Linked DNA regions of Lepisosteus oculatus. The protein of the gene in region 1 purifies or fractionates together with the protein of each later gene. This does not show direct contact. Links are inferred from orthologs where the notes say so. Each region holds a gene or a part of one and is shown in the gene's direction. Other genes may lie near its edges.

Region 1 (7,960 bases):
GCTTCTCTCTCATATCTTTTAAGACCAGCTGTTTCTGATAAACTCTCAACGGGCTGCATGGCTCGGCTTATTTGACAAACACACCAGTTGTTGTGAAATACAGTTAGGCCTCAGTTTTTGACAAATATGTTCCTTCGCTATTGGTTTGTATGTAAATATTTAAATGTGCTGCATTTAATAATGCTTAATATAGTATTCATAGTTGTTACATCAGTGCAGTGTTCACAGTGTTTGTTGATTAATCATGGACAGCTATTTTGCATGATATCATTGTTTATTTTTTTTAACCAACCTACACCCCACCCCCCCAACTTTGGAGGACTTCTTTATTTTTATTTTTTTTGTTCACTCTCTCATTTTTGTTCTTATCAGACAATAACAAAAAAATACATGATAGCATTGTTTCAAAATCATTCATTTTTCTTATTTCTGTGATTTATCATTTATACTCCTAATTTTACAAACGCCCTAGTTCTTAGTATACTGCAGTTTATTAATGCAATTGTTGTGAACTATGGTACTATATGTGTGCTTTTCACCATTGGAAATTCATTGATTATTGCAACATTTAGCTCATTATTATTCTGGTAACCTAAGAAATAATGTCAGAATGCTTCACTGAAACAGAACTTCATGATAGCTTATAATTTTACATTTTTAACATACAATATTCTGCCAAACATATATTTCCTGACCAAAAGAATGTTTTATTTGGTATTTCGGGTCCTTGTCATGGTGAAAAATTATTTTAGTCTGCAAGTGTAGAGATGGCACAGAATAGTGATGTTGTATCTGCTTGTGCTTTTCCTTGGCAAGATTTAGATTCTTACTAATTTGATGGCACTTAAAACCAGTCACACCCCAAATTGTCTCAGAAATCTCGTTTCACAACCTTTAGTACAACACTGTTCACCAACAGTTCTTCACAAAAAAAAACTGCTGTCTAGATTTCAGAATTTCAAATTTGAAGATCATGTCTTGAAAACTCCTTTGTAACTTGTTGTAACTTATTCTAGGGGTCTAGATATTGTTGTCTTGGCAACAGACCTTCTATTAAGACCTGTAGCAAGACGTTGCTTTGTAAGAGTGGTCAAAGATAAAACAGCCAAACAAAAGAAGGTGACAATACATGCTACTGCATATGTCACTATCATGAGAATAAATGTCGATTTGTCCTATATAAATGCCATAATCCCCCACCTCTATGAATATTTGCCAAGAGGCTTTATTTAAATGACATTTTTTATTAACTGAATTGCCACTATTTATATTTCTTCATTGCCATTAAACAAAAGGTGCACCAGTTACTGTCAAAGCCATTTAGATATTTTAGTGCATTATTTTACCACAAGGGATTCACAGCCAGAACAAACAGTTAAAGCAAGACCATTTACAGGATATTGTCTCTCGAAGAAGGATGCTCCACTCCAGACCTCCCTTGAGCACCAAGCCACCAAACCGATTGTCTTTGAGACAGGATTTGAAATGTATCTCTTTCTGTAGTTGTGGGCCAGCAAGGGAATTATCCTCAAAGTACACTGCAAAATCCACTTTCTCTGGCAGTTCAGGGAGAGAAAGACAGATCCTAACTTCTGCTCCTCTGGCTGCTGGTTCTGTCAATACAGAAGAATTCCCATTTACTGCTTCATTTGAATTCTACCAGTCATTAATGTCACAGTGTGAGTTGTCTTCATAGGCGTAGTAACTTCATTTAGAAAAGGGTAGTGAAAAAAATGAAGCGGGTTTTAATTTTGTCCTGCAAAATGTTTTTTTTTTTAATGAGGTTCTTTGTTGTTTTTACATTTGCAAATAAGAATGACCGCAAGTGAAGTTCACTGGTAAACCTATGCTTTAATCACTGCAATAAAATCACTGACGTCAAATTATTCCAGTAGTTCCAGTGACAATGATAGATATTGAAAAGAATAGCAGAAGACAGTATATTAGGGCAACGAAACTTAAATCTGTCTGTATCTAAATCAGACATACAGACAGAGATGAAAAAGCAGTAGAAAAGTAATGAAGCTATCTCCAAATTTTAATAGATAAAAAAAGAGGCAAAAAAAGAATTGATTAAATAAATCAGTTTAATCAGTTTAACGAGGACATTTCCAGTGTCCTGGAAATGTGTATAACTATAGGACAGCTTAAATGAGACGCCTTTCAGTTTGCGAGCTGCTAAAATATTTCTGACTTTTTAAAGAAAACAATGTACTTTAGAAAAAGGCTTTGTTTTTGTGCTCTTTTTTGTGCAGAGTTTTGCCATTTTTAGAGCAAACTTAAGAGGATCAGCAATTTTGTGCATTCTGCGCTGATTGAAATGCAGTGCAAAACTGATTGGATATCATTGTTGCATACTTGCCTCCCTGTTATTTTATTGGCTTTAAAAGCTTCTTTCTTCATGTTGAAAGGTTCTAAATTTATGAGAAGGTGTATATTAACAGGGTCAGACAAATCGCTGAACGATTCAATCAGATTGAATGAATGCAGTATTGAGCTGCTTCTAGACCCTATTCTAAAGGGATTCAAAAATAATATATTGGTGTTTTGGCACACATACAGTATAACAACATGATATACTGATGTCTAGTCACTACTGGTGCCTTGATTTTAGCATTGTGTCCTTCCTTGACACTCTTACCAATGGCATTTTTTATTGTGGTTTTAGATTCCATGTTGGGCTTTTCAAATGTTTTACACCTTTGTGCGCATGCATTGTGAAGTCTTTAAAATTATAATATGAATTATGGGCACTTTTTAAAAGTTGTCTAAATTGATTCAGTATAAAGGTTTTCTTTGTAATATTCAAATGTATTTTAAAAGGTTGCAAAATAATTATAAATGTTAAGACAGAAGACATTGCACATCTGGCAGACAAAATAATGGGCACACCTTCTACATCCAAATGCAAATGGAAAACTATATGTACAGCATGGTTTCCTGAACACTGACTTGTAAAAAACAAAGTGTGTTAACCATTTCAGAAAGAAGTATAACAGGGAGCATTTAACTTCAGCTACTGTACGTAAGAGGAACATTTGGAAGCGTTCTTTTAAACGGTGAGCCTGAAAATGTGCTGAGAGAAATGAAGCTAGGCAAATTATATTCAAGAAAGGAGAAAACATACAGTGATAGTTTGTCCATAAGGACTCTTACTGAAGCCTTACTGTGGAGGAGTCTGCAAAAAAGTCTCAATGGACAGAAAAGAACACAAAAGAGTAGTAACGTTAACTACAGTGGCAAAGTCAGGAGTGGAGCAAACATCATAGCTTCCTTGAATGTGAAGCCTCTGATACATGCACAGTTTATCTCCTGCTGGGATTCAATCTTCTGTCTCGTAAGCATCCCCCACCACACAGTGCGCTGACATGCAAACGCATCTGGTCGGTCAAAAGACTGGTCGTATAACTCAGCAGGCTTCCCATAGCTTTCATTCTTTCGGGACAGAAGTGGTTACGTCACTGTGAAAGACTTACACAGGGAAAAAAAAACACGTTGCACCTGCAGAAAAGAGATTTGTGGGTGAGGGGTTTGTATTTTCAGCTTCCTAAATGAAATGCCCACCTGTACTAAACATAAAATACTTCAATCTAAAAGAAGATTAAAAATAAAAAGTGACGCACTAGAATCTACCTGCCCCAAGGTCTATAGAGCAGCAGGTATACGACAAGCTTGACAGGACAATGGAAAACATGACTTCAAACAGCAGTTTTCTAGATGTGTGCTCTGGGAAATCATTGATTGAATGTATGTGTAGCACTGAGCGTGGATATGCAGATAAGAAAAGTTTGTCATAAAATCCCTGCAAAACTAGCCTTCTGCTGCATTTTCTTTTAACCATGGTAAAACTGTTCCTTCAAATCAATTTTTCATGTTAATTCTTCCTATCTTAGAGGAATGGAAGGATAATTCTGACACCTAGAGTGTGTCAGCATGTGCATGTTTAAATAAATTACTATTTTAAAAAATGTATTCCCTTTTCATATATAAAACCAAATATAAAATGTACTGTATATATATATACATCCAGATGTGCATGCAGCCTTGATTTTACTGTAGTAGCTTCAGATGTGTTATAGCAGAAAGGTCTAGGTTACTGCGAGTGATGTATCAGATAAAAAAAGGGTTAGCAGGACACGATCGTGTAGCAGCTGCATAATAAATGATGGAGAGAATCACGTTAGACATGCCCACCTAGCCTAACTTGAAGCAGGAAAGAAGGGAGCTGCTGGAATTCAAATAGACTTTCTGGCTCCCAGCAGTCGGCAGTAATAGAATGCTCTCCGGAAGATGACAGATGCAGGGAAAAGATGCCGTTTTGCACAGCCCAGATTGGTTTCAGCCGCCAACTTATTGGCGTGATGGAGTGAATGGGAAAGCAGCTGGCATGGAAGGTAGGATTACAAACGCCATCACATCGTTATGAATGTAATTAGAAACTGACCATGACAGAGCATATGTTAGAATGCCCTGTGCTTGATGGAAGAGGATTTGTTGCTAGGCACTGAAAGGGGTTGTGTCAGTCAAACTGCCGAAAAAAAAAAAGATTATTTGTTGTCTTTTTTGCTGTGGCTATCTATCAGAATTAGCAGCATGGATCTTTTTTTTTCTCTTGCTCTTCTTCTCCTTGTTTTGAAGACTTAATGTTACAGTCCTCAGTGGGGGAATACCGACTGAAAACAAACCATTGCTGTGAAACAAATCTGCTTTAAAACAGTCATCAACTATTAATAGACTGCATGTAGTTATGAAAAGAACTGGGGAATTAGATTTTGTCAGGTAAGCCAAAAACAACAAAAAAATAAAAACAGTAGTCAGTCTAGCTTTAGAAAGTGGGTTAGAAGGAAAGAAAGAAGCAAAAAAATATTCCCTGTAGAAATTGCCAGAGAGTATTACAACCACTTGGGCTTACTGATAATACCGTGTCTTGTAATGAATCTTTCCTTACTTTATATGATGTTATGAGTGCAGCAATGTGAGTTTATTGCTGCTGGTTCCACTTTGTTTTATTTCACAAATGTTTTTTTTTTATTAATTTATTCCTGAAGAGGTGGGAGTGTACAGTAGCAAAAGAAAAAAAACTCAGAAATGGTCCAGCAGTATTGTTGTAGATAACTGCTGCATCTGTTTCAGCAAACCAAACTGTACTTGCATTTTGCCAACTTGATGCCTCCCCAGCTGCTCTCTGATTTTGTGCTTAATTACTGCTCCTAATTTCCCTATATCAGCTTATTTGTAAAAAAAAAAGCTTTGACATATAGAAATGAGACTTGACAGCTAATTTTGAAGCTGTTTAATATTTGGAAACATGTCTAGTGAAACCTCGGATTTCCTGACTAATGCAAACTGAGACTTTTCCATTGTCCTCAAAGGCTGCATGTTTTTGGCATATCCTCAGCTGTGATCTGCTTCAGGCAAGGTGCAGCTGTGGCATATTTTGCTTTAATAAAAAAAAGCTTTAGAGAATCTGGACAGAGTGAAGCAGAAGTTACGTTAGATTTGGTTTGATGATGATTGTGTGAAACAAATCTGGATCGGCTTAGAAAAACCCCAGCTGTAAGGTTTCAGAGCATTGTGTCGTTCTTGTATTCAGAATGCTACTTTCTGTAGTACGTGAAAATTGTTAGCTTTGTCTTGTAGGATAAATCATCTTAATTGGATAATCTGACAGCTGACCTGAAATTAAATTGAACTAGAAGCAGGTGGTTAGAAAAAGGACAGTTCTAGACTTTTCTGTTGTCGAAACTTGAAAAGAACACAAAATCACAGAACTGCTTCTTGTCTGGGACCTGGTGTCTAACGTAATTTACCTCTCAGCGATTTCGATTTTACTTGGCACACAGATTTATACAAATTCTAGTGCAGTTAGTTAGAAGAAGGTGAAGTTGCCGTATGCTTTCATTTGAGTGACATGGCCCTGTGGAATGGCAGTAAGCGCTGCTGTCTCATAGCTGTTGGGTCCTCAGGCAGTTGTGCGAGGGTTTCTCAGGGTCAGTTTGGCCCCAACACACAATCCAGTTCTCAGCCTTTTAACAGCATGAGACTGGATATAATCCTTCTGCCAGCAGCACACTTAACCCCAGGGATGATTGCAAAGGGGAGGACAGAATCTGCCACCTGTTGCAGGCCCAAGAGGGCAAAGAGGCCTCTGTCCTTGAGATATGGGAGTGACAGTCTCTTTACCCTTCGTGTGAAACCAGACAACCTATCACTTCTCAGGTCCAATGAGAACTATCCAGTCCTTGACCACACTCCACAGTGCAAGCTGATATCTCTTCTCCTGGCTCAGTCGGGAGAGATTTACAGCTTTGCTAACATGGAAAAAAAAAAACTCGCTGTTACACAAAGAACAAAAAATAGGTCTTGACTAGGAGGGGGAAAAAAAGCTGCATGACAACAGACTTTTGATCTTACATTTTTCTGAGAACTATCATGCTTGAATCGACTGGTGGGAGGAAGTGTTATAATAGTGTTACTATTTTGTATTCACTAAATAGTAGAGGTGATAGCCACTGATTGCTCATTCTAATAGGCTGGAGTGTTGCGTACTGTAGGTCTTTGCCCAGAAAATATTGCTTAAAATGTAATGGCAATAACATAGAAATGACTCCTTATTTCCCTTTCAGACATTGTTGTTAAAGAGAAGCAGTCCAGTGTAATTGTATTTTGTACATTCTGAGGAGTGTTGCTTATTTTAATAAGCCATCCATCCATTTTTAGTTACTACTTTATCCTTAGAGGTTTGCAGTGGATCAAAACCCTGTAAGCACAGCATACAAGGCAGGATTATAACCTGGAAAGGACACAAATCCATAATAAGGCTCTCTTGCGAACCAGCAAACAGGGAGCCATTCTGAGATCCCAATTACCCAGACAGTGTGTGCAGTATTTGGACTATGGTAGGCATCTAGAGAAAATCCACAGGCACAAAACAAAACACGCAGGACAAACATGGACAAACACATGAACTCCACCTAGACTGCTCTAAATCCAGGACCATGATGCAGTGCTACCCACTGTACCACCCTGAATTGATAATCACAATAAAATAATTTAATCCCATTACGACTAATGAGAAACGGTTGTGTTGGATCACTTTACTCATTTTATTATTTAATAGATGTGAGTCCTGAATGCAGTATTCTGTAGCATATCGAACAAACTGGGACAGGAATCTATGTTAGATGATGCTGCCTTGTCCTGGAACCTTTTGTTAGAAAGTCTTAGCTTGAAACAAAAGAGTGATTACATGGAAAACGTAATTATTCTTAATCTGCAGCATCATCTTATAAATATTAATACACTAATCTTAAAGCATACAAAGCTTGGTAGAATTTTAGAATATAAAGCTTGCATTTTAAAGCCTATTAAACTGGGACTTTGCAATTGTTCTGTCTTAATACAGTGGCTGTATTAAGACTTTTAACATCTTTTCTCAAGAGACAGAATGGCGTGTTTTTTGGCTGAAATATTTGAAGCAGTAATAAAGCTAACAGTGTCTTCAGCACAGTAGTTTCTGAGTTCATTAGCAAAAGAAAAGGTTTAAAGAAACTTACTTGTTCTATTTTGCTGCTCAAATCAAATAAATCTGGGTTGGAGTTTAACAAGAATAAGCATTATAAAATTAAATTCAAGGTGTTGGGTTCCTTATATATTCTAGAGCACCATGCAACTTATTTTTTGTTTAGATTCTTTTAGAAATGACCTATGCAGTCATAAATTGCTTAGCTGTCTGGTCCTCTGGTTGTCAGCAAAAGAGTGAACACATAACGTACTGTATTGTGCAAATTGCCTATTGAGTTTAAAGTGTTCTACTGTACTTACAAGGAACATCTAAGTCTTTTAGAGGCAGTTGTGGCAAAACATTTAAAGAAACATTTTTTTAATTTTCTATAGGCTTACAGCAGGGTGATGGAGAGACCAAAATGACACTAGTGTGATTGGTGGTGTTTGCAGCCTT
Region 2 (8,228 bases), on another chromosome or scaffold:
GTCTTCCTATTGTTTGTTATTATTCTTATGTTTCCCACAAAGCAACTTGGGACCAATGTAGTGGGTAGTGGTAATGTAGACCAATATGTAGTATTGCATTGCATTTTGTATAATATATGCATAATGTAAGTACATTACGCCAAATCATTCATGTAAATTATCCTTAAACATGAAACATTCCTGGTGTGGTCATCTCCTCTAACCCGCCCACCCACTGGCCTCCTGAACCTCTGATTGGAGGAGCAGGATGTCCCTCGCTGACATCACTCTCCAAGGCTGCAGGTGACGGGGAAGTCACAGGGGCCAGTCTTTCGCCAGAAGAGTCTACTGTGCAGTGCTCCATGGGAAATCCTTTCTCCGCTGACCAGTCACATGACCCAGACTTGAACTTGTGATGGACGGGATGTATCTTTAACCTGTACTGGGAGCACAATCTAACTGATCGAGAGCCCTCGGGAGCCCCTGCGCAATGAACGCTTGTATCTGAATTTTATAATCTGCGTGCTTGATTCCCCATCACACGCGTTGCTGTGCAGTTGAAAGTGGGAGACTATAACCTAACCTGTGCGGAGGTGCTTCCCACTGTTTTAACTAGTGCCTCTGCGAGGCTGCAGTGAGTGGTGGTGTCAGTGTGGTCTTCTTTGTTGTGCAGATGAAGATCCCCTCCAAGAAGCTGGCCCACATTCCGGTCTACACCGTGGGCTTTGAGAGTGGCACAGTCAGCCACCCCAGGAAGGGAGAGGTCTTTCAGTAAGTTACCTGGCGAGCCCTGGCTCCTGTCCCTCTTGCCACTACGTCTAGGACAACTGCAATAGGGAATGAACATTCATATTATTAGAATATCAAAATATTAATATGATCCGAAAAACCAACTTTCCGCTTCCCGGCTTTGGGAAACACCAAGAGATTATTAATATTCCTACCTAGAATTCATGGCAAATCGTACGCCTGCAGTCGCCATGATCCTGAAAGGTATCTCCAGACAGGTTGTCTTTCTCTCATGAGGACGCTCGACAGCGACGCTCCTCACAGCGCTCCTTCCCTGCTCTTTCTTTAGGTCCCTGCGGAGCCTGACGAGCCGCTCGGTGGAAGAGGAGTTCCCCCACCTCTACGCCAACGGCTGCAGCCTGAAGGACATCTGCTCTGAGTGCGCCAAGTTCGTGGGCGACGTCATCACCTCCAGCCGGAAGAGCTTGGACATCCTGAACAACACTCCCAAGAGAGCCCAGGCCGTCAGGGTGGGCCCTGGGAGAGGTGCCAAGTTCCAATAAAGTGCTTGCCTTTCACGCCATACGCCCTCCCTGAAAGAAAAACATAGCGCCATTTGTGTGTTGAAATAAACCTCGATGTTCCTCTTCTGGCATGGTACGAGTTACCGCCGCGCGTGAATGTCTTCTGGTTCCCACGACAAACGCCTCACGTTTGCGGCTGTTCTCTGCCTGAAGTTGTGATTCATTTGCTCCAGTCGCCTATTATAACCTCTTTTTCAAAACGTCATCGGAATACGTTTTAGAGAGACTTGACCCAGCACGCGCAAAATAAGCCCCCCCAAGGGGAATTAGCACTTGACCCGTTGGGATGTGTTGGAGTCTGCCTTCCCCAAGACGTACTGTAAGTGCTGCTTTTGCGATGTGAGCACTGGTTAAGAGGAAGGGTGAAGGTTTGTCACCCTAAAAGCGGGGCCAAAGAGAGAAGAAATGAGGAGCAAGGGAATGTGACCCTAAAATCCGTGGAGGTCATTGCCTCACAGTTGTTCTTCTTTATTTTGGACATCGAAAACTCCACGTGGAAAAACACAGCTTGCCACATCGTCGGTATCCAAATGAGAGTCTGCGAGCAGACCTGCTCTGTGTCTTGCGCCACCTGTTTCAACAAGAGCATCAAACACAGAGGTGGTTGACATTAATAGAAGCCACAAGGGGTGTCGGGGCTGTCTCTGTCGTCCCGCTGCAGAGAGCTGAGAGTTCACGCCGCCCGGCTGTGCAGGACCTGTGCAAAAGTGAAACTTTAGAAACTTTAGAGAACTTTAGAAATCATCTCGGGAAAGCTCTTCTGCTTCGTATGAGTATTGTCATCCAGGTGCTTCTGAAATCCCATGGTGAAAACATCTGTATCATAATTCAGTCTCTGTTGGGGGAAAATTTATTTTTTCTTTTTTTTTAATTTGTGGTTCAGAACGCAATGTCCAGTGTACAAAACAAAATCAATTTCATTCAGACCTCAGAATTTGAATGTCAGAATCATATTTTTATTGACTGGTGTACTCTATCACAATCCTTTTTTTGCTTTTTAAAATTTTGCTTTTCCAACTTATTTGGAGATTTTTCTTCTTTCTATCCTGAGTGGATGTGACCTGAACCGGTTACGTTTTATCTAGGTATTTTCCTCTGCAAGGAAGGATATTGAGCAAAATGATAGCTGCACTAATTTAGAAAGCTTCCACGTTGGCAGTATTTTGCTTTCACCGGCCAGTTTAAAGACATGATGGTGCAAAGCCTTTTTTCATGTCAGAACCCTGTAAACACTTAATAAAATTAAGCTGCAATAAATCTACATGGCCTGGCATCTGCGTTGTGACCATTTACAATCCATGTTACTTTTGATCAAACAATATACCATCATGGAGACCTGTAGTCAAGTCAGAATTGCTCAGCTTAACTCAGATGTTTCCCAAGAGTCTTGAGTCAGGTCCAGAGCTTCAGGATCCTTTAGCTGATATCACGAGTGAGTCTTGTTGACATGAGACACACGCGGGTCTGAATCCCAGCTATACCGAGTCAATGCAATTGTAAAAATATAAAATCTGTCCGAAAGAGACCCTTGATTCAAGCAAGTACAAGAATTTAATGCATTTCCTACATTTTTGCATGTACTGGAAATAAAACTAAAGAGAATAATTTTGAAACAGGAGAGTAAGAATTACCCTAAAAGCAGTATAGTATTTAATCATTGTCAGCAGGTATTTGCATTTGTATGAGGTCCCATAAAGTTATTCTGCTACAAATAAAGTTGCAACTCGTTTAATAAAAAACATTATAAAAAATCCATTTGCAAAATCCGTGTTCTCCCTTGAACATTCAATTTAGTCCTCGGCTGAGCATTCCCGAAGCTATGCTAGTAGGTGCATGATTAAAATATATTTTTCCACATAAATCAAGGTGCTAATCTAACACAATGTTCACGATCACCAATTGCATGGTAGAAGCACAAACTGCCTTCAAGATCTTCACTACAGCAGTTATATTTTTTGTTTGTTCTGTCAAACGTTCATACTTCTTCCAAGGTCACTGAATGTTTCTGGGTGTGGCACCTTAGTGTATATCACTTCATTGAATACAGTACATAAAACCTGGAAAAGAGCTTTGTTCAACTGAGCAAAAGCTTGCATCAGACAAGACATTGACAAGACATTCACACAGCATGCTGTGCAACTCTTCAGTGAGCTCTGCTGTAGGCTTATCCACACAGTTATCAATCTAATGAATAATAATGACAGTAAGAGCAACCACCATCATCATTTTACTTCTTTATACACAATGGTGTTAACAAAACACAATGAGATAGCTATTAAATAGAGAGCTAGAAACTATTTTCTAAAAAAATATCCTTTTTACTTTAAATAACTCTCAAACTCTTGGATGAATGGCTGCAAAAGTGTTTTAAATTCCGTTTCAGTTCCCACAGCATGAAGGAACACGCTGGGCTTTTTGAAGACTGGAGTGTTCCTGAGGGTCAGGGTAATTTGTCAAGTCTACCATAATTCTGCCAAGCACGATCAGATGTTGTGCATTTTTATGCCACTAGGTGGCAATAGCGACCCACAAACTTGAACAACATTTGCTGCGCTCTGTTTTTAAATGCGCTTCAAGAGTCAACGACAGATCTTCTGGATCAATATTAAGTGACTGTGGGACTTCGCCGAGACTACACAGTCAAGACTTGACAATGCAGTGTACTGTATATGTCACTTGAAGTAAAGTCTGCACTTACTGTACAATTTCAAGGCAAGAGACTCGATCAAGCCTGGTCGCAGGTCCAGATTGCTGACCACTCATCTAAAACTATCACCAAAGTTATACTGTAGTAACTGTGATCACGTGAGAGAGATTTGCTATTGTTATTTTTTACTTTATGGAAATACTATTTCAAAAATGATGCAAGCGAGAGAAGGCCCGTCTTGAGTAAAGAATTATTTCCTATTCTCCGTACCAAATAAATTCCCCTCCCTGGTTGTGGCACTGGTTGTGTGTCGTGGTTGTGCTACCCAGTGTGAAACCACCTTCAGCCTTACACCTTCAAATCTCTATCCTTTCAACTCAGTTTTGATCGAGATGGAAATGACTTAGCGCCCTTAAACTGTCCCTATCTGATAAACACCTGAGGCAAGGGGTGCTCTCTTCTTGAACTCTTTCCACAGCTTTTTTGTTGTTGTTGTTGTTGTTGTTGTTGTTGTTGTTGTTTTTGTGGTGCCGTGTGATGGCCAAAACTAACAACGCCATCCCAAGTAAAAGTCAGTCATTGAGAAAACACTTGGAAGCCCTCGAGTGCTAGAGGTCTCCTTAATGGAGCGCATTACTTGCTTCATTGATCGACAGCACGCCAGTTGTGTGTGTAATTGCGACACATCGCGTTAGCCGCCGGTCCCCGGCCGCGTCTGGATGGTTTTCGGCTGGCTGGTCGGGGTCAGGGCCCGGAGCCCCCCCGCCCACATGCGGCGACCCGCAGCCGGACACGTGTAGTTCAGGAGCAGGTATTTTTTGACAGGAGAGGCCCTTCCTCCTTATGAATAATAAACAGCCCCGTTTCCACGATTGGCCGCCGTCTCACCCTGCCCCGTTGTAAAGTTTTTATCCCCACCACCCTTCTCCTCTCCTCGGCTTTCCTTCATGAATAAATAAAAAAGTCGGTCTAACCTCTTATTTTCTTTCGCGAGTCAACTCGACTTCCAGCGCACTTTTCTGCTCAATGGGTTTGTGGGTGTGACGGGTTTTGCTTGTAACTTGGCGCTGATAAAGAAGGGAAAGAAAAAGTTGAACAACTATGACGGGCGTAGTTTAAAAAACGACCACGATGGCCGTCTGGACGAGAGCTGATAAGAACGGACTTCTGGACCTTCTGCTCCGGGACCGCTGGATTAGGGTCCTGGCAGAACTCACCCGTGAGACCCTAACTTTGACAGCGGATGCCGAGCCCATCGGACCGGGCGGCAGTGCGGATTACAGCCCCTCGCCGGGCCTGTGGAACGGGCTGTCGAACGGGACCGAGTCGGGCGGTCCGACCCGGACGCAGAGCCAGCACCCGAACCACGGCGCGCTGAGACGCACCGGGAGCCCGGCGGGCGGCGGGGTCAGTCGGGCTCAGACCGACACGGGCTACGCTTTCGGCAGCCCGGGCTCGGGCAGGATCGCTCAAGATAACGGCACCAGCTCCGACCTGGGCAGCCCCGGCTCCAGTTACGGCAGCCCCGGCTCAAGCTTCAGCAGCACCGGACCCCTGAGGCTGGGCGATACCCACCCCGGCCTGGAAAGTGCCGGCTCCGAGGCGGTGCGGAGAGTGCGAGTGGTGAAACAGGAGTCCGGCGGGCTCGGCATCAGCATCAAGGGGGGACGGGAGAACCGCATGCCCATTCTCATCTCCAAGATCTTCCCCGGGCTCGCCGCAGACCAGAGCCGGGCGCTGCGGGTCGGCGATGCCATCCTGTCGGTCAACGGCAACGACCTGCGGGAAGCCACGCACGATCAGGCCGTGCAGGCGCTGAAAAAGGCCGGCAAGGAGGTGACTCTGGAAGGTACGTGATCGCAGACGATCTCGGGGATTCACCTCTTTAGGCCACGGCGGTGGGTGGGAAAAGGTTTGTGCGCGGACTTCACCGGCTGGGACCGAAGTCGTGCGCGTAAAACTGGAAAGCGCGGAGGTTATTATTATGATTATTTTATTTTGTGTGTGTGTGCGCGCACAGAGATGAAGTAGCGAGACGAGCTTCTTTGAAGTGTTTTTGACTGCGGCATGCCTCAATCCGTCAACGAAACTCGGGGCTCACGGAATGAGGGAATCAATTACATTTAAGGGGGAATCGTAAATGCTTAAGATGCGAGTCAATTGGACAGATTTTTCGTGATGCAGGGTTCAGAAAATGTTGCTCCCTTGTTTTACACTGAATGCAGAAGTGCTTGTGGGATACCTTCATGCTCGAACTTGGGTCTACTGGGTACTTGAGCATTTCAGTGTATACTCGCCTTCTTTTAAAGATTTATATAAGCAAGACAGACGGCGCTACTCTGTTTATATTGCTGGTCGTTTCAAGATCCCGTCTAAGACCCTATTCCAGTCTTCAAATCCAAGCGCCTTTCTTCCTAAATCCCGTCGTTATCTGGAGGTGAGTGATCTGATGTACATGTTGAAACACCTCGCCGGCATGACACGCTCGTTACAGCGCCGCGAGGTTTGCAAAGGTGAGGCAGGTTGTTCTGGTGACTTCGACGTGTGTGGTTAATAACTGGAGCCACCGCCCTACTATTAATGAGCTTTTGATCGATCAATTAGTCCCCCTCCTCAGACCAGCTGGTACCGAACTGCAGCGGTGTCTCTCTGTCGAGCTCCGACAGGAAGTACGTCGCCGTCAAACCCAGTGTTTTGGAGAACATTTCACAGCAGTCATCTGTTCTCGTGGTTAAACATTTCACGCATTTTTTTCCAGTGTACTTCCTACACGGTGTTCTGGTATAAGTGTGTGTGTGTGGGGGGATTTTATAGAAATATTTTGCGCTGATCTACTTTGTCCTTCTTTGCGTAGCAGATAACAGTATGTACTGCCTTTCATCATGTGCTGGGCTCATAGTATAGCCTAGTTATCTGGAAAAATGGGACAGGAAACTCGTTCTGAGCCTTGTCCTTCGTTTTGAAGTTGCAGGAGACAGTTTCTCGTGCCATTCCTCCCACATTCACTGGAGTGTGTGACGTGAGGCGGGAGGCACAGGCTCCTACAGTGCTCCTCTTCACCGCTGTTCCTGCTGAGCCTGTATCTACAATGTAAGACTTGGGTCTTGTCTGGGAAAGCAGACACCCTGCTGGAGGCATAGCAGTTAAAGCAGCCAGCATGTCCTTGGAGAGTGGGAGGAAGCTGAAACCCCCCTTATTTGTGTGGCCTGACATGCAAACACCACACAAACGGTACCTCGGTTCAGAATCGAAGCCAGGATCCAAGAGCTGTGATGCGGCAGCCAGCGCTAACCTCCATGCCCTCATGTCGTCCCAACTGCAGGTCTGTGCGTCTGAAACAAAAACAGCCGGTGTGCTGTCCTTGCAGTTGTGCAGTACTTTCTGTCCACCCGTTTTCCAACCTCTTCTATCGGCGCGGTGCTGCTGGAGAGCCAGAGCCTTTCTCGGCGAGCACTGGGCGTAAGGCAGGGTACACCCTGGATGGGACACCAGTCCATCGCAGGGCACACACAGGCCCGAGCATGCTCACACTCACACTGTGTCACCGGGGCCAAAGTAGCAGAAGCCAGTTAACCTATTAAGATATTTTTGGACTGGGGGAGGAAACCGGAGCATCCGGAGGAAACCCCAATAAACTCGGGGAGAACATGCAAACTCCGGGCAGATAGCACCCCAGCAACTGAACCCAGGGCCCCAGCGCTGCGAGAGGGAAATTCTCCCGCCGACACCGTTCTTTCCATTAGACCCGTGTACCTTTCGTATTCAAGGAAAGCAATAAAGAATGCTTTTCCAAAATCGAGTGGCTCCTGTGTCTTATCCTAGAGTGCTGCTGTCCCCTGGTTTCAAATCCTCTTTAAATCATCGTGTAACTATTTAGGTCAAACTTTAGGTAGAAATGGAAGAAACTGACTTATGTTCTTTTATAATGGGAGAAGTCATGGAATGCGGTCAGATTATATTCATCCGCAGTGTCCTCCCTAGCTCCTGGAATGGTTGCAGAGGACAAAATTTGGACCCTCTTGTCCGAATCCCGTCCTTTTTCACTGGGATGGACCCGGGCTCGGAGCCTGGCTTGTGCCTGAAGCTGTTGGCAGCTCCGTTGGTAATGACCCGGAGGGTTGATCCCACCGGCGCCCTGGCCTGACCTTCCCGGTACTCTTCCGGGATCGTCCCCTGCCCGCGCGCTGGCCGAATGAAGTCCGCGGTCACGGGTTCGAGTCTGGGCATCCCTGCTGGCCGTCACGATGGAGCTCGGTGTGCTGGGGCTGGAGGAGAGGAAGCAGTTTGCT
Region 3 (7,761 bases), on another chromosome or scaffold:
GCCACCTTGTGCTGGGACTGATGGCGGTCACTTCAAGAGTGGATTTGAAGGATGGGGCCTAATGTGAATGAAACCATGTGTAAATGCAATATTAATAAACTACTTTCATGACATCCCCTGACCAATTTTTTTTTTTTTAGACTGTGGAATTTTAAAGCATTTAACAATCCTTCCTTCTACAGATCTGTGACATCTAAAAGCATAACTGATTTTTGTAGAGAACCGGGTGGTGCTGTTTTCCATAAGGTCTGTCTGTATTTAAAGACATACAAAAAAGACAGGAACCATCCTGGAACTGGTGTAACATATTGATCTTGACCCAGCTGACCACCTTTGCGAGGAGATGAGCAAATACAGTAAGCTCTTCAGCTTTGAACACTCAAAGCCACTTCCACAGAGCGGAGGAGCATCGTCGTGGCTCCTGTTCTCACTCTTGTGTTTGATCACCTCTATGAGATGGATCAGCACTTATTGATCAATCTCATAAAGGTGACTAATTTGACTTTAGTCTGGGAGCAACAATATATGGGATTACAGACATCCTTTTTCACAGAATCTTATTTTTAACTGCTAAAATTATGTTATACTCAAAACAAATGTAATTACAGTGAGGCAATTGGTGGAGTGCCACTGGGGTCTGCACTAGGAACCCTGCTCTTTGTCATTAATATCAATGATCTAGATCAGATGTCTTCAATCATGGTCTTGGAAAGCCCCAGTCCCTCTGGTTTTATAGGTCACCTGTTTTTTTAGCTACTGATGAATCGAGCAGGGCATCTGTTCAATAAAAAGAACTTTGGCTGAGGACTACTTAGACCTTAGTAATAAAATCTCTTGTTTAATTGATCATAATTGATCATAATTTTAATATTACATCACCTCTTTTAAATTGTTTTTTTTAAACTATGGTATACAGCTTAACATTTAATTTGCCATTATATCGCTTCCCCACATTGTCGAGAGGTTTTTAAGAAGTGACGACATGAACAAATAAATATTTTACTTAAGTAGCATCTTCTGTCTCCTGTTTTGTATTTCTATTTCATGCTTTTGCTACCTGAGGCGCTAAAGAAAGCAGTAAATATATGCGGTTATATGCAGTTAATAATGGAGTTAGGTCCGCTTGAGACAAGTACTTTATACCTGTCAAATACCAAGCTCTGTAACTGGGTATAGCTGTAAGCTGATTTGGACTTTAATCAATGAATAATAATTGAGCTTCTAAAAGCCAAAATATCCTCCTAATCAGTGTCATTGTTATAACTGTAAAATTATGGAAACATTCTTGTAGAAGCAATATCTCTTATACAATTAAGACAGCAGCCATATCACCCTGCAACTCACAGCTGGCAGCCCACTGAGGCTCAGCAGGTGTGAGCCTGGTCAGTACCTCGATAGGAGACTTCCTGGGAAAAACTAAGGTTGCTACTGGAAGAAGTATTAGTGGGCCAGCAGGGGGCGCTCACCCTGCAGTCTGTGTTTGTCCCACTGCCCCACTATAGTGACTGGGACACTATACTGTAAAGGTGATATTCTTTGGATGAGATTTAAAACTGAGGTCCTGATTCTCGTGGTCATTAAAAATCCCACGGTGTTTCTGGCCAAATTTCCCATTGGCCTTTACCAATCATGGCCTCCAGATAATGCCCATCTATGAATCATCATTACTCTCCTCCCCACTGATAGCTGGTGTGTGGTGAGTGTACTGGTGCACTATGTCTGCTCTTATATCATCCAGGTGGGGCTGCACACTGGTGGTGGTGGAGGGGAGTCCCCTTTACCTGTAAAGTGCTTTGAGTGGAGTATCCAGAGAAGTGCTATATAAATGTTTTAATAAGAACTTCTTTATTTCTTTAGAATTAATTTATTAGAATTTCTCCCAGAGCCACTTTTCAGTCTTAATTTATTAAATAATATTAATGTATATTCTCTGTTCTATTTTTAAGAATCAGATGCAATACTTATAAGGTGTTGTGTTTGACATTTTGTATTATTGCCACTACATTGCTTGATTTACGGGATTTAATTTAACTAGCTATTTAGCTGACAACTACTGTATACAATGATATTTAGTGGCCAAGACATTGACCAACACCGCAATGTTAAGATTCTGCCAGAAGGGGGCGGTATTTGCTGTTCTGCTCAGGGTGCTTTAATTATGTTGAGTCGGTGGCACTTTGAAGTTCGCAGGTCTGGACCAATTATCACGGAATAGTTAAATTCTTGACTTGTTTAGTTATAGTAGTCAAAATTAGATAAATTATATATTGTAAAGCAGGCATATCTAAAGGACTATTCGTTTTGGTTTTCCAACTATTGATACAAGTCTCAACGAGTAATTTTAGAAGATTTCATGTTGTTAAAAGTTGAAACGTATAGACTACAAATTAATGCTTGATGCAAATACGTTCTTGTTCTGTAACCTTTAGGCTTTTATGAATACTTGTTGCCTTTCAAAATACGTCTTTGGTGTACGTTGAGTTTTGTATTAAGGTTAAAAATCATCACTCCTATTAGCTACTTCAATAATTGACCACCAGGTGTCGCCCACAGCACCTGCTTTAAACTGGAGTATTAAAAGAAGAGGTCCGAACGAGGAATTTTCATTTATTACTATGGTAAACACTATGTGTCCATTTAAAGTATTTCTGTGAGATTTTAAACTGTTATTAAAATTGATTCATGGTTATTATTACATTATTATTGTTTTGTATTCTTGCCTGCAAGAAAGAACTCTGCAATGATCATTTCTGAGAGGGGTAGCGGTCCAGCATCAAGCACCTTTCCTCTGGCAATGATAAACTGCGAACCGTCAAACCGGAGGATTTCTTCGTGACATAATCTGAGCTCAGGGCAGATACCGAATTACCCTGTCAGATCCTCCCTTTCTGCATCTCGCATTTTCTTTTTAAAACTTTTGCCAGGACAAATGTTTTTTTTTTTAATATATATCGAAGCACAGTGAAATGATGGTAGAAGGCAGGGAAGCACCGAAATCACGACAAAAAGCTAAGTGTGTGAATCAAGTGTGGTAGAAACACAGAAAGCATTCATTCGTAAAAATATTGTAGATTTACTGCTGTGAACATCTCAAGAATTACAGCAGGGTTCCATAGCTCTGGTCTCTTTAAACGCCTGTAGGAATTAAAAGCCAGTTGGATAGAGACGAGTTCCATATAGGCCTTTAAAGATTTGATATAACATTTCATATAAAAGGGGCATTATGCCTGATAGATTATCGCAGTTTGGTTATTATTTTCAAATTACACACTGTTCCATGTTATTCTTGTACCCGAATATTCCTTTTAAAACACATTCAGTAACTGGGACACCTCAGGTGTACTGAACCATGTGAATATGTATGCAAAACACAGAAATATTCTTAACCCCAAGCCCAACCGGTAGATAAGGATTCTTTGCATCGGTACACAAAACTGACAAAAGAGTTATTGCTTTCATGACAGTTTCTTTTACCAGAATTTGTGCGTCATGCGAAATTGCTGTTTGTTTAAACGTTTTCTTCTTCTTGTGGAGTTCCGGATCTTTGCTATATACTGTATGTACAGTGTAAGCTCACTTCCCATACATTGAAAAACTAGTGCACTGCTGTGTATCTGTTTTTCGTTTGAGTTTACGAAGAAAAACGTAAGGCTTTGCAGGTGTATCTCAGCAGTTGTTTTACCTAGTCACCGTTTCTGTTTTTAAATGTTAGCAATTTTTACCAAGACCATATCAAATTTAAGCTTCTACTTAATATAGCTTTACATCTTAGTATTTGCATTTTAAACTATAATACTTTCGATTTAAAGCGTGTCACCTGTAATCAATGAAAATAAAAGAAACGTTTAAAAAGCAAGAACATTATTTTTTCCCTTGCAATAGCCTTAACATCTAATGCGGAGAAATACAGCGAGGACATGGACAGTTCCGACAAGTTAAAAACGTATTTTCTAACGGCTTATGAAGACGTCAAATGAAAATAGTAAATCTGTATTTGTAATCCATTATCATCCCTCATATACATGTATTTTGAAATGCGACGTTCAAATTTCAATTCGCAACTCGAATTTATCCCGTTTTACAGACACGTGTATCCCGTTCAGTCAACAGCTTCAAACTAAGATTTTGCAAGTTACATTATTGCTACTTCATCTTGGACATAGTTACATTTGTTAAAATCTGCCTTGAAATGCCTTTAGACGCTTCATGACTTCCTGCGTCGGAAACTTCGTGAAAATAAAACTATTTCAGCGTTGGCGTTTAGGGACCAAGAAAATGCAAACTATCTAAAAAGTCCCACCTGTAACTCACAGCTTTTGAGGAAATGAAAACGTTAAAACTTCCCGGAGAAAGCTCTTCTCTTTTTTTTTTTGCGTGTTGAAAACTTTGCTCGGTTTTTGTGGGATTTCCTAATGGGTTGCTCCACCCAAAAAGGATAAGGGGAGTGAGAGAGATTAGGCGGCTGAGGGAAAAAAAAAAGGATAAAAACTATTTCCCAAGCTCTCCGGAGTCCGAGAGTAAAGTCCTGAGTGTGTTTAATGACATGGCATTTTAAGAATGTTCCAAAGATGGCGGTGGCAACAGCAGTTCCGACAAGCAGGGTTCAGAAAAGTGGTTTTTTAGAAGTTTTGGTCCGGGATCGGTGGCACAAAGTTCTCGCCAGTTTAGGCGAAGAAGCCCTCACGCTGAGCTACGAGGAGCCCGGGGAGAATGTCAATCTGAATGGCATCACCAATGGATCATACGGGGGTCACCCCGATCCCACGAACAGCCCCAAAGCCCCTGTCAGGACAGCTTACACCGATTCACCCGAGCAAGTGCCGGAGGCGATAGCTAACAGAAAGAGAATCGTCAAAGTCATAAAGCAGGAGGTCGGGGGACTGGGGATCAGCATTAAGGGGGGCAAGGAAAATAAGATGCCGATACTCATCAGTAAGATCTTCAAGGGTCTAGCCGCGGATCAGACCCAGGCGCTGTATGTCGGGGACGCGATCCTGTCGGTGAACGGAGTGAATCTCCGGGACGCCACTCACGACGAGGCGGTGCAAGCGCTGAAGAGGGCTGGAAGAGAGGTGACGCTGGAAGGTAAGAGACGGAGAAACTTTTGTTGTTGTTGGTTTTTTTGCGCGGAACGGGAGAGAACTTCGGTATCAGCAATGGGGATATACAGTCACGTAAGAGACCGACAGTTTTAAAGTTAACTGGTGGGGGAATATTGTGTACATCCATCAGAAAAAAAAAGAAGAGGCGTGTAAAATGCGAAGCAATACAGAAATGGAAATAAAACCGTTAAATAACTAGTACAAATACATGAATTTTAAGGTCATAATGTAGTTTTACTCTTGATGTGTGTTGTTTCTGTCACGTGACGGACAATGTCACAGTTTCACGTTTAAGATTGTTGTGATTGTTTAACATTTAAGAGCAGTGCGATTGTTTGCCATTTACAATGTAAACTTCGCCGTAAAAATAGGTTATACAGTGAACTACAAAATCCATGGAATCAGTCATCCAATCGAATGGCGTGCAGGCTTACACCGTTCAACTTTCCCTAAGAGTAACTGTTTTGCAGACGGGCATGAGGTTAACAACTCTTGCATGGCCAGGAACAGGTTCACAAAAGAACAGTACTCGAAGTCTGTTTAACGTCACGTTTTCAATGTTTACATATGCTTGGACATAATAGCTGTCAGTACATTGAGTTCTCGCATAGATTATGCTCCACGTACGTAGATCTACATCTATCAAAAATGAGTGTACATACAGTATGATATTAAAGGGGGGGGGTCTTGTTTAAAAAAAGGAGTGAAGACGATTAAAAGGACACATTTAGCAGCTTGTTTCCCTCCTCAAAAGTTGCTTTGTTCGCAGTTTAACATTTCCCAGCCATTAATCTGCGTGTGCTTGTCGAAATTGAGGATGCGATCCTAAATGAATGGAAAAGTAAAAAAAAACAAACAAACCTTGACCTACGTATGTAAATTTCTATCGTAACATTTGGGCTTAAACACAGGCTGTACTGTAGCAAAATCTAAATAATAAATGCTAGAAAACAGCAAGTCTTACTCCACTTTAACAGTGTGAGTCAACTGGAAGTAAAGTCGGGGGGGGGAGATTAAAACTGCCGAGTTCAGATGTCAGCGGCCAAACAGTTTTTAAAGAAGCATTGTGCCAGGCAAGTGATGACCTGTTGTGGCCATAAAAAAAATTCACTGCAATATGTGAGGAGCAGGTTTTAGTGTGATGAACTTCTGGAGTAGTCAGTTGTCCAAATGGTCGTTACAAAGAGGCAGTTTGTGCAAGAGGCCAATCGGAAAGCACCCTCGATTGCTCAGCCAAGTTTCAGTGCAATTGGAGCAGTGGTTCCCCAGACGGGGGGAGCCTGAGGTGTCAGAATAAAATGGTGGACGGGTAGGCATTTGCTGGCGGTTTACCATGAACATTTTTGCTTCGTTTACATTTATGATGGTCAGTGAATACATAAATAATAAATGTTTGAGCAGGCTCTGCTGAAGTCAGGTGGGATTGCCAAAGACTTTGTGTTATATACTGAGATGCGTTAAAACACAACAAAATAAATGTATTGTTATATTTCATTATTCAAGAACAAGGCTGATGTATGTTTTAGTAATGCTGGGGCACTTATGGTACATTCATGTTTAAATCTTTTATCAAAAAGAAGGAAGTTAAGTGCTAAAGGTGTACATTTTTTCAATGCATGAGTTCAATACTTCATGTGTTCTCCATTTGCTGACAGACATGAAAAGGCATCAGTATCGCACAAGCGTTTATTTCTGTATGAGCCGGGAGTGATGCACACAGTTCAGTGGGTGTGCATGATCAAGGATCCCGAGGAAACGCACACACACACTTGTCCACTTCAGTGCACTACAAGGGTGCTCTATTGAGTTTATGTCAGGTGAATAGTGTGGCCAGTCTATCACACACACAATGTGCCATGCCAGGAAATATCTGATAATATTTGAAAGTCTGATATGGGACTGTGCATTGTCATGCATAAATGAAAGAGCATAATCTTGCACAAAGTAAGGTGCAATGTAAAGGCTGAGAACATTGTCTCTATAGTATTACATAGTCAAAGAACCTAGCTTCAGTGGGTTGCCAGTTGTGAGTTGCAACCATATCACCCTGCAGCCCTCTGAAGCTCAGCTGATCTGAGCCTGGTCAGTACCTGGATAGGAGACCTCCTGGGAAAAACTAAGGTTGCTGCTGGAAGAGGTGTTAGTGGGGCCAGCAGGGGGAGCTCACCCTGCGGTCTATGTTGGTCCTAATGCCCCAGTATAGTGACTGGGACACTGTACTTAAAAATCCCAGGGCATTTCTCGAAAAGAGTAAGGGGTTTAACCCCAGTGTCCTGGCCACAATTCCCATTGGCCCTTACCAATGTACTGTATGAGCTGAGATAAAAATAAACTCTATATTATGTTAATATTGTAATTATCTTCTAGTCATAGAACACTTTTTAAGTACATTTAATAAGTACCTTATCAACCCGTCTGTTAAAGTGGCCTCCTAATAATCCCCATCTATAATAATAATAATAATTGCTTACTAATTGCTCCATTCAAAGCGCTTTTCAGGTAATGGGGACTCCCCTCCACCACCACCAATGTGCAGCTTCCACCTGGATGATGCGACGGCAGCCATAGTGCGCCAGAACACTCACCACACACCAGCTCTCAGTGGGGAGGAGAGCAGAGTGATGTAGCCAATTCATAGAGGGGGATTATTAGGAGGCCA

Evidence for each region.
Region 2: the proteins of dmd (region 1) and sntb2 purify together in Homo sapiens (co-immunoprecipitation; 4 studies listed by BioGRID and IntAct, counting the BioPlex papers as one, with this or other methods). This does not show direct contact. The link is inferred for Lepisosteus oculatus from reciprocal best matches to the Homo sapiens genes DMD and SNTB2.
Region 3: the proteins of dmd (region 1) and sntb1 purify together in Homo sapiens (co-immunoprecipitation; 4 studies listed by BioGRID and IntAct, counting the BioPlex papers as one, with this or other methods). This does not show direct contact. The link is inferred for Lepisosteus oculatus from reciprocal best matches to the Homo sapiens genes DMD and SNTB1.

What each region holds. Positions count from the first base shown.
Region 1 is NC_090710.1:29,679,665-29,687,624, forward strand, and holds the start of dmd (dystrophin), read left to right. Parts: upstream 1-4,279; 5' UTR 4,280-4,297; coding exon 4,298-4,394; intron 4,395-7,960. UniProt on the Homo sapiens protein: Anchors the extracellular matrix to the cytoskeleton via F-actin. Ligand for dystroglycan.
Region 2 is NC_090715.1:12,723,371-12,731,598, forward strand, and holds the start of sntb2 (beta-2-syntrophin), read left to right. Parts: upstream 1-4,849; 5' UTR 4,850-5,070; coding exon 5,071-5,788; intron 5,789-8,228. Other genes in the region: spire2 (protein spire homolog 2), read left to right, coding at 653-750, 1,058-1,271. UniProt on the Homo sapiens protein: Adapter protein that binds to and probably organizes the subcellular localization of a variety of membrane proteins. May link various receptors to the actin cytoskeleton and the dystrophin glycoprotein complex.
Region 3 is NC_090705.1:11,036,525-11,044,285, forward strand, and holds the start of sntb1 (beta-1-syntrophin), read left to right. Parts: upstream 1-4,195; 5' UTR 4,196-4,538; coding exon 4,539-5,085; intron 5,086-7,761. UniProt on the Homo sapiens protein: Adapter protein that binds to and probably organizes the subcellular localization of a variety of membrane proteins. May link various receptors to the actin cytoskeleton and the dystrophin glycoprotein complex.